Linked DNA regions of Drosophila melanogaster. The protein of the gene in region 2 interacts with the protein of the main gene of each other region in a pairwise test. Each region holds a gene or a part of one and is shown on either strand. Other genes may lie near its edges.

What was found. The genes of interacting proteins can lie anywhere in the genome.
Region 1: the proteins of ORMDL (region 2) and RIC-3 interact in a two-hybrid assay, tested with the Drosophila melanogaster proteins (one large-scale study listed by BioGRID).

Annotation. Positions count from the first base shown.
Region 1 is NT_033778.4:21,014,875-21,025,222, reverse strand, and holds RIC-3 (RIC3 acetylcholine receptor chaperone), read right to left. Parts: upstream 7,440-10,348; 5' UTR 7,271-7,439; intron 7,079-7,270; exon of another isoform or gene 6,955-7,078; intron 6,492-6,954; exon of another isoform or gene 6,465-6,491; intron 6,161-6,464; exon of another isoform or gene 6,141-6,160; intron 6,065-6,140; 5' UTR 5,837-6,064; coding exon 5,641-5,836; intron 5,484-5,640; coding exon 5,364-5,483; intron 5,137-5,363; coding exon 4,982-5,136; intron 4,231-4,981; coding exon 4,090-4,230; intron 4,033-4,089; coding exon 3,906-4,032; intron 3,723-3,905; coding exon of another isoform or gene 3,702-3,722; intron 3,338-3,701; coding exon 3,090-3,337; intron 2,890-3,089; coding exon of another isoform or gene 2,848-2,889; exon of another isoform or gene 2,761-2,847; intron 2,159-2,760; coding exon of another isoform or gene 2,058-2,158; intron 1,790-2,057; coding exon 1,637-1,789; intron 1,562-1,636; coding exon 1,469-1,561; intron 1,248-1,468; coding exon 1,098-1,247; intron 1,041-1,097; coding exon 906-1,040; 3' UTR 305-905; downstream 1-304. Other genes in the region: Sou (souji), read left to right, coding at 8,023-9,321; CG9346 (uncharacterized protein), read right to left, coding at 9,643-10,035, 10,096-10,348.
Region 2 is NT_037436.4:21,632,474-21,637,883, forward strand, and holds ORMDL (orosomucoid 1-like), read left to right. Parts: upstream 1-2,831; 5' UTR 2,832-2,911; coding exon 2,912-3,088; intron 3,089-3,144; coding exon 3,145-3,296; intron 3,297-3,513; coding exon 3,514-3,649; 3' UTR 3,650-3,778; downstream 3,779-5,410. Other genes in the region: MED1 (mediator complex subunit 1), read right to left, coding at 1-366, 443-1,723, 1,789-1,822; CG32444 (uncharacterized protein), read left to right, coding at 4,513-4,839. UniProt on the Drosophila melanogaster protein: Negative regulator of sphingolipid synthesis.

The DNA.
Region 1 (10,348 bases), on a different chromosome or scaffold from region 2:
TAGGAGCATGGCTAGTGGTAAGTTGCGCAGAATTACTGTGGAATATACAAAAAATTGCTAACCTGCCGAAATTTACGTAATTATTGTGGCGGAGATTGACAAAAAACAGCTGTTCGCCAGTGTATACACACGAGCAGAAGGAAAAATTCACTCTTTGTGCTGTAAGGCGCATTCTGTTAATCAAAATGTTACAGCACTGTTAGTTTGAAAAACTAATTTTTTAGAAAATTATAATTGGAAAATATTAAGGAATGAAATTTCATTATAACTATGTATTAATTTAAAATTCAAAACACATGTGGATGTCAAGTTCGGTTTTCAATTTATTCATTATACTAGGTTCACAAACGCCGTGGCACTAACTTTATTTGTTTAATCATACGATTTACGTGCGATCGATTGGATTTTTTTTTAAGGTAATTTCATTGCCAAGTAGCTACGGATTTTGATTAGACGATGCGGCTTGAAATACATATGCGCTTAGCTTAATGGTAGACTAGTTTTGCATTGACTTTCAACTAAGAGTATTCACACAAAATCATGCAGTTCACAAAGACGCGGTTTTCTAAACGAGCTAAAGAGTTTTCTAGACATGCAAGTTTGGCTTTAAGTTTTGACCGAAAATGATTAAGGTTTTCAAGAGCATAAAGTTTTAAGGTTTACTTTAGAGGGAGTAGACACAACGTTGGCGTTTTAAAATCAAAACGAAGATATCAAAACATACAATATGTATATATATACAAATCAGATATCAAATTATTGGCAAATCTGTTTCGTGGCAATCAGTCATAATGTTCGTCGTTCAACGAAATTAGCAACGAAATTTCACTCGGCCCTTGCAATTAGTTAGTTTCGTCTGAATCAAGTCGTGTTCATTGCCAAATTATATATATATAAAAATCGATCTACTGCTCGTCGTGTCCAATTATTTCGATGTCATCAGCCAGAGGACTTTCCACTGCGGATTTGCCTGCATTTCCATTTTGTTGATTTGCGTCCAAATTAATCAATGACAATGTCATTCTGCTGCTAAGAATGATCTGCAAGTTAATTAAGTTAATTAATTGATATAGTTTAGTAGAATGGCTTATCCATACGGCTGGTTCCTCGGCTGAGCCATTGAGCTCCGAGTCGTAGACTTCTTCGCGTTTGATCTGGGAGTCGGCAACCAAAATCTGGGACTCATGGGCCAAAGCGCCTTCCAAGTAAATGGACTGCGGCTCCGGCAAGTTGTCTTCCAATTTGGACTGAAATCGAAGAGGGATTCTATTTAGTATTTCTGATATACATATTTAAAAGCTTCAACACATATGCGCAGAGGAGGTTGAGAGCGTAGGAAACATCCCAGTTTAATCACTTTTTTTTGTAGGGATATATTGAAAGCGTTAGGGTAGCAGTTAGTCGAAACTAGTCTAGTTAAGTTGAGAACTTGAAAGTGGTGGGGGGTCTGTGCGTCAGTGGCACTTACATGTTCGCTTGGCGCTCGGAAAACAGGCGTTGGAGGGCGTCCAGTCCACTTGTGGCCGCCCTCGCAACTGGCTGTTAACTCCATGCCGAGTACCTGCACCAATATTCGATTATTTACGGCAAAGATCTACGTACTCAAAGGTGCTATACAGGGTATATAATGGCATACCGTCAGTTCCTGTTCAGCGCTTAGATCCCGCCGTTTCCTGGCTCCCTTCGCCACGGTCTCCTGCTCCGGATTTTGGTCGGTGCTGCTTGCATGTCCATTGGATAGGTTCTGCTTGTCTAGTGGTTGCTCCCTCGTTTTTTCGTTGTCGTTTTTCTGCACAGGATACACAGGATATAATACGGTTAGAGAGGACACTCTCGAAACAGTCAGTAGAATGTGAGAGCTAAGCAATTCTATACAGCCTCAAAACGCAAGAAATCAGAAATCGAACGCATTAATTACTTCAATTCGTTGTGGTTAGGTGAAACGCAACAAAACTCAATTAGTCGAAGGATCTTGGTTAATAAACAAAAAGATTAAGTTCTTGTTACAAATTATATGTTCAAGGATTGCCGTGCCGGACCCTTTGAAGGTCTCTAACCTTATTCGAATCAGTTTCAGTGTCGCTCGTCGCCCTCTGCTTGTCTTGGCCATTCAATTGCTCGTCGGCCGCGTCTATCAAACCTTGTATGGCCGTAACAACTAGCCCCATGAAAGTACAGGGTATCAATTTGGGATTTACATTCATTTTTTTTTTTGTGTTTTTGCGAGAAACATGAAAAACGTAGAAACGACACAGAGAGTGAATATTTATATAGTTGTTTCTTTGTAGCTCTGAGTATGAAATGATGTTTGCGATTATCTTTATTGGCAATGTAAAGTTACGTATAGTGTTCGAATAGATTTCGAATAAGACTGCTTTGAATCGTAAAATATGTCCCCATCATAAGAGTTTAGTTTAGTTCAGATCGAGAGTACTCAGTGAGATGCAAACACATTTAGACTGGGTTCGTTAGTAGATACGAGTATGTGAAAAGATATGTTTATATATATATATATATATGCATATATCGCATGCCGACAGCAGACAAGCAGGTTAAATTAGAAACAGAGTCGGGAGAATTCCGTTCCATGCACTTGTTAGACTTGAAGATTAAGGACAGAGTGACATAGTTTTAGAACTGAAGGCTTTTTTTGGGGGGGAGGATGTGGCAGGGGGGTAAAAGAAACCATTCCGAGGATTCAGCTATTCACTAGAAACCAATTGAAAACAGAAATAATCTAGTTGACTTTGTTCGTTGTACTTAGTTGTGATCTGAGTTGTTGTTGGTCTGATTTTGGTCTGTTTTACTGACTGATTCTATGTGAACTGAATGATGGTTATTATTGTCTTAGAAGTTTGGCTGCCGCTTGAGAAACTTGAGGGCAATCATCTTGAAAATGAGAACACAAAAGAGATCAAATATTAATTCAAATGACAGCGAGATGGTCCAACTGAAATCACTACGATATATGATGTGCTACTAGATGTATCTGAGTCGCGTTGTATAGCTATATCTGTATCTGTATCTGCTTTTTTCCGATTCGATGACGATGGTAGGAAGCTACTGGATACTGGATGCTGGATGCTAACCTTTGCCTCATACTGATCGGTGTTCATTTCGGCCACCAACTGGGCCATCGCCCGCTCCGTGCTCTCGAGTTTCTGGCGCAGCTTCTCGATCTCCATCAGCTGCTCGGCCTCCTTCAGCTGCTGGTGGCTCTTCAGAGAGGCGGACAAACTGCTCGCCACCTCGGTGGCCGACACACTGGCGTTGTACAGCTCCTTTTCGGTGTCCTTGGCGGCCGGCTTCTTTGCGGCGGCAGTGGCGGTGGCAGCTCCTATAAAATTGTCGTACGGTTTGGTAATCAGGGCCGGAAATCGAATCAATCGAGGGACTAACGAAACTAAGGAGTATTTACACGGGTGCAGGAGTGGCAACAAAATAAATGTATATATCCATGGAAGCGTGATCAATTCGGGGTTAGTATATATATATATTTATAAATAGTATATAGGCACACAACATCTAGAATGAGTACATCTAGGTAAATGAAATAGAACACATAGTCGCTACGATACTACGATACCAAATGAGGAGGACATATTTCAAAACTCAAAAGGCCTTTGTCGAGGTCTAGAAACTCAAGATACGAACGAAACTCTATGGTCATCTATGCAACCATCTATATATATCTGGCTTACTTGTCTGATGCTCTCGCCAGCCTGATACCGTGGCATGATTTTCGGTGTGCATGGGTTTTTTTGGAAGCAGAAGAGTACAAAATGCGATTTTTTTTCGGTTAGGATTGAATCGTGAGTGCGGTGGCTAGAGCGATTGTGTGTGTGTGTGTCCAACTACGAGTGTAATAATCCGGAAGATGGCATCCGAATTGGCCTGGCACTCACCCAGTTTGCTGCCGCCCAAATCCTCCACCTGGCTGTGGTTCTGTGATCCGAAGACCTCCTGCCGGAAGGCAGGATTTGGAGGCGCCGCTCCGTACGGATCATTGGGAACTTGCTTCTTGAACATAATCTGCATGTAAGAGTTTTATAGTATTATAATTACATATATACGATCAAAGAGAGTCACCTTCATTAGGGTGTAGCCGAAGAAGACTACGATGCCAATGGTGTAGAGTGGCATTAGGAAGCCCATGCTGCTGCCCCGCTGTTGTGGCTGATGCAGTGCACCGGCGCCCATGGGTGGACGCATTCCAGGAATGGGTCCAGGCTAGAAAGTACATACATATGTCAAAAGTTACTGAAATACAATAGAATGCCGCCAACAATCAAGGTCATATTAAATGTATCAGGTATACGCCCCGGTGGTTTCTTAAGTCAATTGTCTTTAGATATTTTTGAACTGATCGAATATGTATATTCTATTGTCCTATGTAATCATAAAAATTACGTATCCGCCGCGATGTATATTGACATAAAGATTACTCAAGACAGTTGTCTTCGAAATCTTTTGAATTGATGTCTTTGTAGGAGAAGGGAATCGATTGTGTTTTATTGACAACCCATGTAATCATTAAAATTACGTATCCGCCCCGTTGTATTTTGACATGAGGCGAGGACAGCTGATTTGTGCTCCCCGGCCATTCTAGCATTCTAGTAGCGATGAGAGCAAAATGGAACTGGCGCACTGAATTTGGCACAAGTTCAATACGCAGCAGCACATTCGGCCGATCTCCCACTCATCATTTACAAATTCTTTTTTTGTGTTTTCTTTAGCGCTGTCTCTTGCCTTCAATTTGCGTGCAGTGTCATAAAAACAAAACCCGAATCCGAATAAAATAAACGTTTGGCTATTTATAAATGACTTCCAACGCGAGCGCGGATATGTCTCATCCCGCCGTCATTATAATCACATCGACCACAGCCCGCCGACCAGTATAACTATATATATTATAATTATGGATTTATCGTCCGGAGAATAATGCACACCGTATGGTTAAATGTATAGTAGCCCAACTCACCCGTCCGTCGACAATCCGCGGAGGCGGATTACTGGGCGAAGTCTTTCGTTCTAGAATCGGCACGGTGGGCGTGGCGGGAATGGCGCGACCCCGCTCCCTCATGGCCTGGTATATGGATTCCGGATGCAGGTGGGCGGGACGCTCCTGGCGCAGACCTGCGACCACAATGGATTCATTAGTAACACAATTAAACTATCAAATTTTTAATTGACATAAACACTACATTTTAGAAACCCAAACATTAATAAACTCATTAATACCGTAAAGGTTAGGAATCTAAATGTATCTCAATCGATTGTTTCATGTAGATACAATCTTGTTAGTAGAGCCAAACACCGTTAGTAAAACCAATAAGCAAATTATAAATAATCGAGCCACATACTTATTTCGCCCGTGTAAACATTGATTTGCTTGCGATACAAATGCGGACCGAAGGGCTCGACAGTGTCCTTCTTCGTGGCATTCAGAAACTGCTCCCTGTCCAGGACGACATCACAACATCCTACAACATCGACCGGACAACAACAACACCCACATACGGAAATCAAAAGAAAATCATGATGATAATTCATAAATAATAAATGATAAATGAAATTAAGTAAAGTACAACATTTATAAGCCCTAGCTCCTAATGTGGTGAATAGAATCTGATGACTTACCGCCTGGTGCTGCTCGTGGATCCTTGAAGTTTGGCTGGCTTGGAGGCACTCCTCCGAACATCATGGGATGGAAGACCTTTGGCCACAGGATGGCAATGCATCCGATCACGGTTACGATGATCAGGGCGGTCTTCTTGGGCGTCATGCCCTCCTCGACGAGCGGAGCTCTCGGCTTGGATGTGGCTGTAGCGGGCATTTTGGCTTGGTAGCGGATTCCGTGGGCTATCTGGATTCGTTTGGCTATGGGTTCGTGGTTAAAGCTAGTCCCTAAGGCAACTCTGCTATGTGTTCCTGATCGATTTGGTTCGTTGATGGCTCCCTGCGAGCTGTTGACTATGCGCTGTGTTTCTAGTTGCTGTTTAACTTTGGCATTGGCTCATTTTGGCTGGCTAATGGTTGATTTGCTGTACGTTTAAAGCATTATCTGAAAGATACATAGATGCATAATCGGTTACACGCTACAGTTCGCTGATTCCGGCTTTCGTTGGAGTTGTATTCACATCACTGATCGGTCACGAATCGCAGCGCAAAATGCTGTATACGTTTGAATATTGTTGCGGGAAAACAAAAAAGTTTATTACATAAATAGCGGTCCCGATCTTTTTTATTTTTAGCTCGCGCAATTCGCTCTTTTCGGCCCGTCTAATAATTCTTTATTATTTTCACTTTTCCCACCGCACAAATCACAATTAACGACCGCATAAATAATATTGAACGTTTCTCCAAAAGAAAATGCTTTCGTATCGCTTTTGGAAAACGGTTTTTGAACGACCAAGGGTTCGAAAAAAAATGAAAACAGAAAACTGGACAGAGCGACTGCTTACGCAAAGTTCGAATGTTGTTCCCGAACTGGCCAGGCAAATTTTTGAAACTATTAGCGAATTTTCGGCAGATCAGATCTGAAGACCCGACACACCATTCGGGCGCGCTTTTCCCCATAATCGTCGTCGGCCATTATTTTCCTTTATTTTTGATGAGACAAGTGATTTGCAGCTTGGGCCTGCACCGGGAATTTCCGAGAGCTACGCTACAGCAGCCGACATAACATTAATGCTCTCTAATTCATTTCGGAAATAGATTTTAAATCAAAATACATATAACTGCTTGGGAAATTGGGCAAACTTAATTTGAAATATTTCAGCAAAAAAATTTTATAATATAATTTTAAATTTAATTTTTTGAGCTATTGCTGCTGTTTTGCTGACCAGCACTGTGTGCGAAATTTCGTGTTTTCATATTTTTCATTTCGCAGCTTCTTCGCTCTTGTTATCACACACGCACACACACACTGCCAAGTGCTATGAGTTTTCCGACCGTTTTCCATTTCGCTTTCAAGCGCACTGACTGAAAAGTGGCGAAAGTAAAATTGTTTTTACTATGCACGTCTGTTATTTGCACAGCATCTTCTTATTTCCACCACTTTTATTTTAAAAATTTCCCTCTTCTTGTCACTGTCTACATTAATTTGGAAAACGTTTTTCGAGCTCTCTGCGCTTTTATTTTTGGAGGCACAGCATTTGTAATTTGGGTTCAATGCCGTTCGGCTTAAGACTCATCACTTATTTTTAAAAATTATGAATTCAAAGTGTGGAGATTTTGTCCTTGGAATTGCTCTCGTGTTCTGAGGTACCTTTTAAATAATTATCAGTTTCGTTTTTAAAGACTAACACCTTTGGTTTCAAAGTTCGTTTTCTTATCTAATTACGCTAATTTCAAACTGTTTGTTTGTCGTTATAAGTTTCTCTGCCAGAAAGCAGCAGCAATAATAATTGATTTTTCAGTCGACCGAACGGAGATGGGCAGCATTGGCTGTCAATCGATGCATGCGAGTGCTATCGATACTTTTCTATCGTTTAAAGTTAACGGATCCTTTACACTGATAGAAGGCTTATGGGATTTAATAAATTTTTGTATATTTGTAATTGTTTTAAATGGAATCACATTATTATTAATATATAAAGGTCAAATATATATTTGGTTCGTAAAATGGTTACTTTATTATGCATTATTATGATGTTAAACTAGACTAACTATATATAACTAAGGATCAACTAAGGATCCAATATAACGGTAATACGTAAAATGCGGAATATACAAATATTAATTCGCTCAGCACTGTTGCCCTTTATCGAAATTAAAATTATTCGATTTATCGATAGCATCGTGAGTGGTCCACCCAGCTCCAATGTTTTCGTCTTCTTTGTGTTATAAAATTAACAATTTATAAATACGCATTTTCCGCTGGACCACCGAATATCGTCGTGACTTTGAAGAATCACAGTGCTATCAATCCTCGAAAGCAAAAGGTTGTAAAATCGAAAGTGAACGCGCGCCTGGCGTGACTGGTTTCTAGGCTTTCACCCCACGAAACTGGAGCTAACAATGGACAGCGAGTCGTTGGCCTGTTCGTCGGTGGAGAAGGACCTGACCCGAGTGGTCAGCAAACTGGAGCAGCTTCACGAGAACGCAGAGGCGGACATCGGAGATATAGCCACACAGATGTCGGAGCTGGTAGAGGTTCTCAGCAGGGCGGAGCAGCTGGTGACCACTCTGAACTCGAGCACCCAGGTGTCCCAGGACGATCCCATGGGCGATGCGGTGAGCATGCAGGTGGAGACGGAACCGACGGCACCACAACGCCTAACCGAGCGCCAAGTGGAGAGCGTCCGGAATGCTCTCGCCAGGTGCCACGAGCGCGTGCAAAAACTGTCCACGGAGCACCGCGATCTGCACGGCTCCATTTCGAAGATCGGCAAGGCCATTGACCGCAACTTTAGCGCCGACTTCTCGTCCACCATGCGAGTGGACGTGCTGCAGGACGAGGAGAACCTGATGTTGCTGAACAAGGCCATTGCCAAGCATTATTGTCGCCAGGGCATGGACGATGTGGCTCGCACGCTAATCCGCGAGTGCAAGATGTCGCCGGAGCATGCCCAGGATGTGTTCGACTCGGAGCGCGAGTTTGCCGACATCTACGGCATTTGGGTGAAGATCCAAAAGCGGGATCTGACTGACGCCCTCAAGTGGGCAAAGATGTACTCCCAGCAGCTGAGTGACCGCCACTCGCTCATAGAGTTCCGGCTGCACCGCATGCGTTTCATGCAGCTGGTCTCCTACGGATTGGACTCGCAGCGCGAGGCCATCTCCTACGCTCGACTGAACTTCAAGAAGTTTGCTGTGCGCTATGAGCACGAAATAGCCAACTTGATGGCCAGCTTTATATATCTGCCCAGTGGACTGGAGAACTCGCCTTACAAGCACTTCTTGGGCCAGGAGAAGTGGACCGAACTGTCGTTCATATTCCTCAAAGACGCATGCCAACTGCTAGGCATTAGCAAGAACTCCGCCCTGTCTGTTGTGGTCAATGCCGGATGCACTGCCCTGCCCGCCTTGCTCAATATCAAGCAGGTGATGCAGTCGCGCCAAGTCCTTGGCATGTGGAACGGCTGCGACGAGTTGCCCATTGAGATCGATCTGCAGCCGGAATTCCGATTCCACTCGATCTTTGCCTGCCCCATATTGCGCCAGCAGACTTCCGAGGACAATCCGCCGAAGAAGTTGACCTGCGGTCATGTCATATCCAACGACGCCCTGCACAAGCTGAGTGTTGGCCACATACTGAAGTGCCCCTACTGCCCCGTGGAGCAGAATGCCGAGGAGGCTGTTCGCATCTACTTTTAAGCCACATCTATGTATTCACCTTATGATAATCACCACTGCTTATATGACCAGGCTCAGGCGGTTCGAGGACTGGTGTTGGTTGGCCGGCTTTCCTTAACAAAACGTAACCATTTTAAGATAGCTTGCTTAGATTCATGTTTTTAGACAAATTCGCAGAGCGGAATCGAACTGCCTGGGCCGTCTGTTTTGCGTGTGTCCCACTTCCTAACAAACGATTTAGATTTAAAATTATATATACTGTGTATTTAAAACAAACGACGAAAGTGTTTTTATGTAGAATCCATGTTTAATTAAATACAAATCGTCCGAAGAGCAGACACTCTAGTGCCTATGTTTGTGCTTGTGCTTGTCGCTGCGATGTCTCGGCGGCGATGGCTCTTCTCTGCGAGAGGAGCGCGAGGAGGTTGGAGAACTGCGTGATCGCGACGATCCGGAGGCAGGAGTTTCGTAGCGGGAGCTGCGAGACGACCGCTCTGTATACCGCTTCGGTGAACTGGACGGACTACGCGACCGATTGCGTTTCGAGGATTTGGATGAGCGCGAGGTTTCGGGTGAATAGTCACGTCGTTTGGATTCGCCACCAGAGAACGGCGAGTGGGATCGTTTGCGGGAACTGCTTCTGAACAGCGCTGGACTCTCACTCACCTTGGAGCTCTTGGATTTTATGTGCATGTAGCTGAGCGGGGAGTCTACAGTTGCCTCAGATCGCGAGTCCTGTTCGTTCGCAAAGAATTCAGTTGTTACATCCGACTTACTGTATGTTACAAATCTTACCTGTTTAAGTAATCGCTTCCGGAATTGTTCCACTTGTTCGGGGACACTCCAACCTGGTTCCAGGCGGCGCTTTCCGGACTCCAGTTCGTCCTGGTACTGAATTGCTTTCGACTCAATGTCTCTTAACTTCTGACGCATCTCGTCGGTGTACTTTTGCGGATTGTCTTCTCCACTGTCGTCGTCCGAGCTAAAGAACTTCGGTGGATCTGGCGGATCGAGAGTGTCCCATTTGCTGGTGGTAATCGCCTGCGCT
Region 2 (5,410 bases):
ACTGGCTAAAGTTATTGCCTACTCCTGAGACAGGTCCACCACCACTCATGCCTCCACCTCCGATTGCTCCAGAACCAGATCCAGGTCCAATCGCGCCATGCAGTTTGAATTCGTGCTCCTCATCCCAGCACTTAAGCAACTTGTAGATTACCATCGGAATGGATACCACTTTGCGCGCGGTGCGGGTTAACTTCTGGGACAGCAGCTCGTATTCGTTGGTCAGACAGTAAACGCTGCACGTGGGCTGACCATCCTCAAGCAGAAAATCCACAGTGGCCAGCGACTCTTCGTACGGGTGCTGCAGCTCAACCGTGATTTGATTAAATGAAACGGCGGTTACCTCCAGTATCACAGTGCTGTCCATATCTGGGACGAATGAGCATAAAAAAAATATTATTATCATAAAACAGGAATGTGGGGGGAAGTGGAGCACCCAACTCACCATTATACTGCTTCTGCTGCTCACGAACACAGCTTGCGAGCAGGGTGTAGAAGAGAGCTTGTTTCTTGAGGAACGCCACGATTCGCGGAACCTGGGCGGGTTCAGTGAAGGGCAGTGATGACACCAGAGTTCCCTGCAGTTTGCGGTTGTCGGTAAAGAAATAGCAGTGCGTCTCTTTAGGTAAATTCACATACAGGCCGCGCTGTGTGTTCTTAATGGCCTGCTTCGATGCAGTTTGTACTATGAGATTAAGCACTGTGGTGGGCGGACCAGGAGGAGTGGCAACTGAGTCTAGACCGGGCAGACCGAGAGCCTTTAGTGATTCCAGGCAAACAGGCATGGGTTTGTTCAGCCGAAGCACAAACGTGGCCGGCATCAGCAGCGAGTTGTTCTGGTTAAGTTGGGCATAGGTGGGAACCTCCAACCCCGTTTGGGCATCGCGGACCAAAGTCACCGTTGGCAAAGTCTGCAGTTTGTTGGCTGATGAGCCTTCGAGATTGATAGTGGCACTCAGTCCGTAGCTGCTTCGCATTACCTGGTCGATGGTGAAATCGCCGCTGGCCAGTTTGGGATCCCCTTCGGGAAGGTGGAGCGGCGGGCAGAAATAAGTAAGCCTCATAGGATGGCCACCGCGACGGGGCAGCACAAGACCCACCGATGAACTTGTCATAAGTGAGTAGCTGTCTCCGGAGTGACCTTGCAGGTGCAGTTGGTATAGGCTCTGGATATCCGTCTCCATGGCCTGAAGCGCTACAAACGCCTTCTTTTTCACCTTGGGCTCGGCATTCAGCTGGTAAATGGAGGACAGACCCTCGAGTTGAACCGTAAAGTCTGCAAAGTCGCCAGACTTGAGGCAGGCCACTAGCTCGCTGGACTGTTGCTCGATCTTGCACTCGTGGTGCACCTTGACGTCCGACAGACTGCCGGCGGCGTCCAGCAGGATCTCTACGTAGAACATGTCCGTTGATATGAAGAGAAGCTGCTGGTCCTCCATGAACTTGAGGCCCAACTGGCGCGAGAGGCTCTCCAAACGCTCCACAAGGCCGTGGCGTGACGTGACCTTGATGTAGTGCTGCAACTTGTCCAGCGCCGACTGCAGCGTGGCCTTGCACAGGGGGTCCAGAGGGTAGTGCTTCTCGATAAAGTACATACGCACCGACTTCTTGATCTCCTCGTAGCTCTTTGGCTTGTTCCGGTACTTGGCCCGCAGCTTCTCCATCATGGTTTCCTGCTGGATCTGCTTGTTCTTTTCCTCGATGCTGGGAATGTGGCTGCCGAAGCCTGTGCAGATTTGTGTCAGTGGTGCTCCGGACATCTTAGTTATGGGGGTATATATTAGTACTTACCAGTCCCCGAGGACTTTGCATTGGATCCGCTCATATCTATGCGTTCCTAAGTAAACTGTATTTACTTAATGATGCTGTGGCATTTTTGACAAAGAATTGCGGCAAATGAAAAAGTTCTCGATCTAAATAGCTCAGAACCTTTTTTCTATGCCTTCATCATGGCAAAAAAATTTCAACGCCAAAACAACAAAATGGCTGATCCTTCACAGTGGCTGGTCACGCTATAATAAAATACTGGAATATAAAACGGAACTATGATATTTCCACTGCGTCATTTGATATTCGATGTATTCTGATTCAAAGCTTGTATCAATTGCCTGTTCAATTATGTATGTTATATTTTTTAGTATGAGGGGTAAATATAATGAAGCAATTAACATCTATATTCTATACATCCTTCTGGTACTTTTACATTCTATTTTTTATGATGTAATTGTGCCTCATTTCCTACTCGAATTTTCTCTTAAGCTACAAGGGTATTGTAATGAACAGAAAAGCTCAAACATTCTTTCGTTAAAAAATAAATTACAGGCCTCATAATTTAATACCGATGATTTAATATTTATTTAAAATTTCCAATGATTTCTAAATGTCTTATTGGCATAAAGTTTAATTTGGGGTTTCTGTTCCAAGAAACCGAAAATGATTATTTAAAGTTTCTTGAGATTTGAAAGAAACTATAATCCTATAAAAATAAATATCAGCTAAAAAAAACTTTAAGGACTAATCAAATAAGTAAACAAATACAGCTTACGACTTAAACAAATTTTATTTCGCTAAATTCATGATAAGTCTTAAGCGTTCCTCTCTTCCTCGTACTTACCTAAACTACGACAGATATACGGATTATATTGAATATAGGTTTGGTCCGACAAATCAAAAGTAGTCATAACCTTTACTAAAGGTAGATGTTATATTTCATAGAAAATTGCAAAAGCTTAAATTCAAATTTTATTAAACATTTAAAGTATTTCAAATTTCTGTTTTCTCTAAATTATTTTGGTATATTTATTATCATCAAAGTGCAGAGCGATATTTGTATGCATGCGCGGTCACATTGAGCGTAAATGATAAATATTTGTTATTAAAGTGTTTCGGAACCAAAGGTTAACAATTCAGCCACATGACGTCCATTGCGGGAGGCCACGGCGAGGCGAATCCAAACAGCTCCTGGCTGAGTGCCCGGGGATTTTGGCTAGCATACCTCCTGGGCCTGCTGTCGGTGCACCTGCTCTTCTTATCAGTGCCCTTCGTTAGCATTCCATGGGCCTGGACGGCTACCAACCTGCTTCACAATGCAGTGAGTGCTCATGGCGCCGTTGAGGAGTCAGTCCTTATCCTAATCCCTCTTGCCAGGCCCACCTGTACTTTCTGCACGTCATCAAGGGCGCTCCCTGGCTGAGCACGGAGAACGATCCCAGCCGGCGTTGGACGCACTGGGAACAGATCGATGACGGGGTACAGATGACCACAACGCGCAAGTTCCTCACAGCTGTTCCCATTGTTCTGTAAGTGAATACGTACTGAAAGTCGGCCAATATAGGTGGGTTTTTATTTAAAAAAATTAAAACTAAATGAAGACTTAAATTCTAAACTTGTTTTAATGTTGATCAAAGTATTTCAATAAATACTTTTTATGTACTGCAGTTTAATTGAACTAGTAATGTAATTGCTACCATATAATGCCTAACATAGAAACTCATGAAATAATTGATTTTTTTATAGTTTCCTACTTACCTGTCTGTACACCCGAAACAACACGGAACACTTTATCCCAAACTTTATATCCCTGGTGGTCGTCACGCTTCCCAAGCTGCCGCAGTTCCACGGCGTGCGGCTGTTCAACATTAACAAGTACTAGCTCCTGTGAGAACGGGCCGCATTTATTTTGTTTAATGAAAATGTACATACAAACTTATATTGATGGCACAGCTCTTGCTCAAAAATGTAAATATTGCTAAATAAAATATTTATCAAATTAAATAATTCTAAAAATCGCGTTTCGATTTTTATTGCATAAATAATTATTGATCATGGAAACTACAAATCATCTAAAAGATGTATTTGGGGGCCAGCACATGAGATATTTTATAACCCATTATGTCAGACGATTAAGTAGAACCATGATGTAGTTCTTTAGCCCAAAGGATTAAACTTGATCAATCGCTGTACACAGAAGTCTTCGTAGTGACGAAAAGCACAGTGAGTGGGGTGCGTAAGTATAGTACATATATAAGCCGAAAGATTGAAAACATGAAAGAAAAACCCGTTAACTGATTTTTTCTGTTAAATATTCTTAAATATAATCATACAACATACAAAAGTACTGCTATCAACTTAAGTGGCGAAAAATGATTATAGACATACTATACAGATACAATGCAAACACTCGCCGCAAACAAGCAAACAACAACAAACAAAAAGCTTTTTCTGTTTTATGAGCTCTCGAGAAAGTCGCGCCCCTGAAAAACTATTCTAAATTCCAGTCAAGTGGCGATTACAGGACAGCTTATCTCTCATTATTGTGGGCGGTAAAATGCGGGGGATGGGCAATCGACTTCTGACAAGCTGATTGCCCGGTTTGACTTTGAGGGAGAAGCTCGCGACCCGAACGACTTTGGCAATTCATAATAACAGAGGTGTGCCGGATCGGAGTATGCCTGATACCCAGGCAGTTGCTGTCAGCCGTTTCAAGGGGAAGGAACGACACCGAGACGCGCCGAGATGTCGATTACCCTAGAGGAGGAAATCTTCGGCTTGGCCGTGAATCCGTTCACCAAGTCGCCCGAAATGGTGCGCCGGTACACGCTTAAGAACTCCAAGGGCATGACCGTGTCAGTGATCCAACTGGGGGCCATCATCCAGAGCGTCTGCTTGCCGGACGCCTACAAGAAGGTGGATGATGTGTGCCTCGGCTTCGACGACATCGCCAGTTACTTGGCCAACAAGGGAGCCTACATCGGTGGGACCCTCGGACGAGTGGCCAACCGGGTGGCCAATGGCGAGTATACGTTTAACGACACGAAAGTCTCGGTGACAAAAAATATCCAGGTAAATATTTCACAAGTGACCGATTTTTGAATACTATTTGAGATGAGGATTTTTGACACTTGTTTTGGCAAGAGAACTTAGTGTTAGAAGTTTTTTGATTGGTATACTTGTTGTACTTGTACTTGTTGTAAAGTATCAGGTAGAGGAAAGCGATTCCGACCCTATAAGTGGATTTGCAATCAAGGTCACTTGCCAAGTCGACCTGGTTTATTAGTTGAGATAAGGCATGCATATTATAGTGACGAATACAAATACATATATTCAAGTTTGTCTCAGATGAAAAAAGACCCGATATCGGCTGTGCTCAGCGTACTCGGCGACACAATCATTCTTATTTTTTTTTTTTTTTTTTACTTTGCTTTTATTTATTGAATCTTCTTGTATAAGAACTAACAATAAGTTTAAAAATCTTAACTATAACAAGTATTTTTTGAACAGTTGTATTATTTTTCCAACTGTTCTATGTTTAAACGGCCCTAATAATTTATTCGCTGGGTTGGTAGGTCCTTTCGCCGGAGACGGGAACGGCTGCTGAGCTGGATTAGACCTCGCGCTAGGTGGTTGGGGTGCG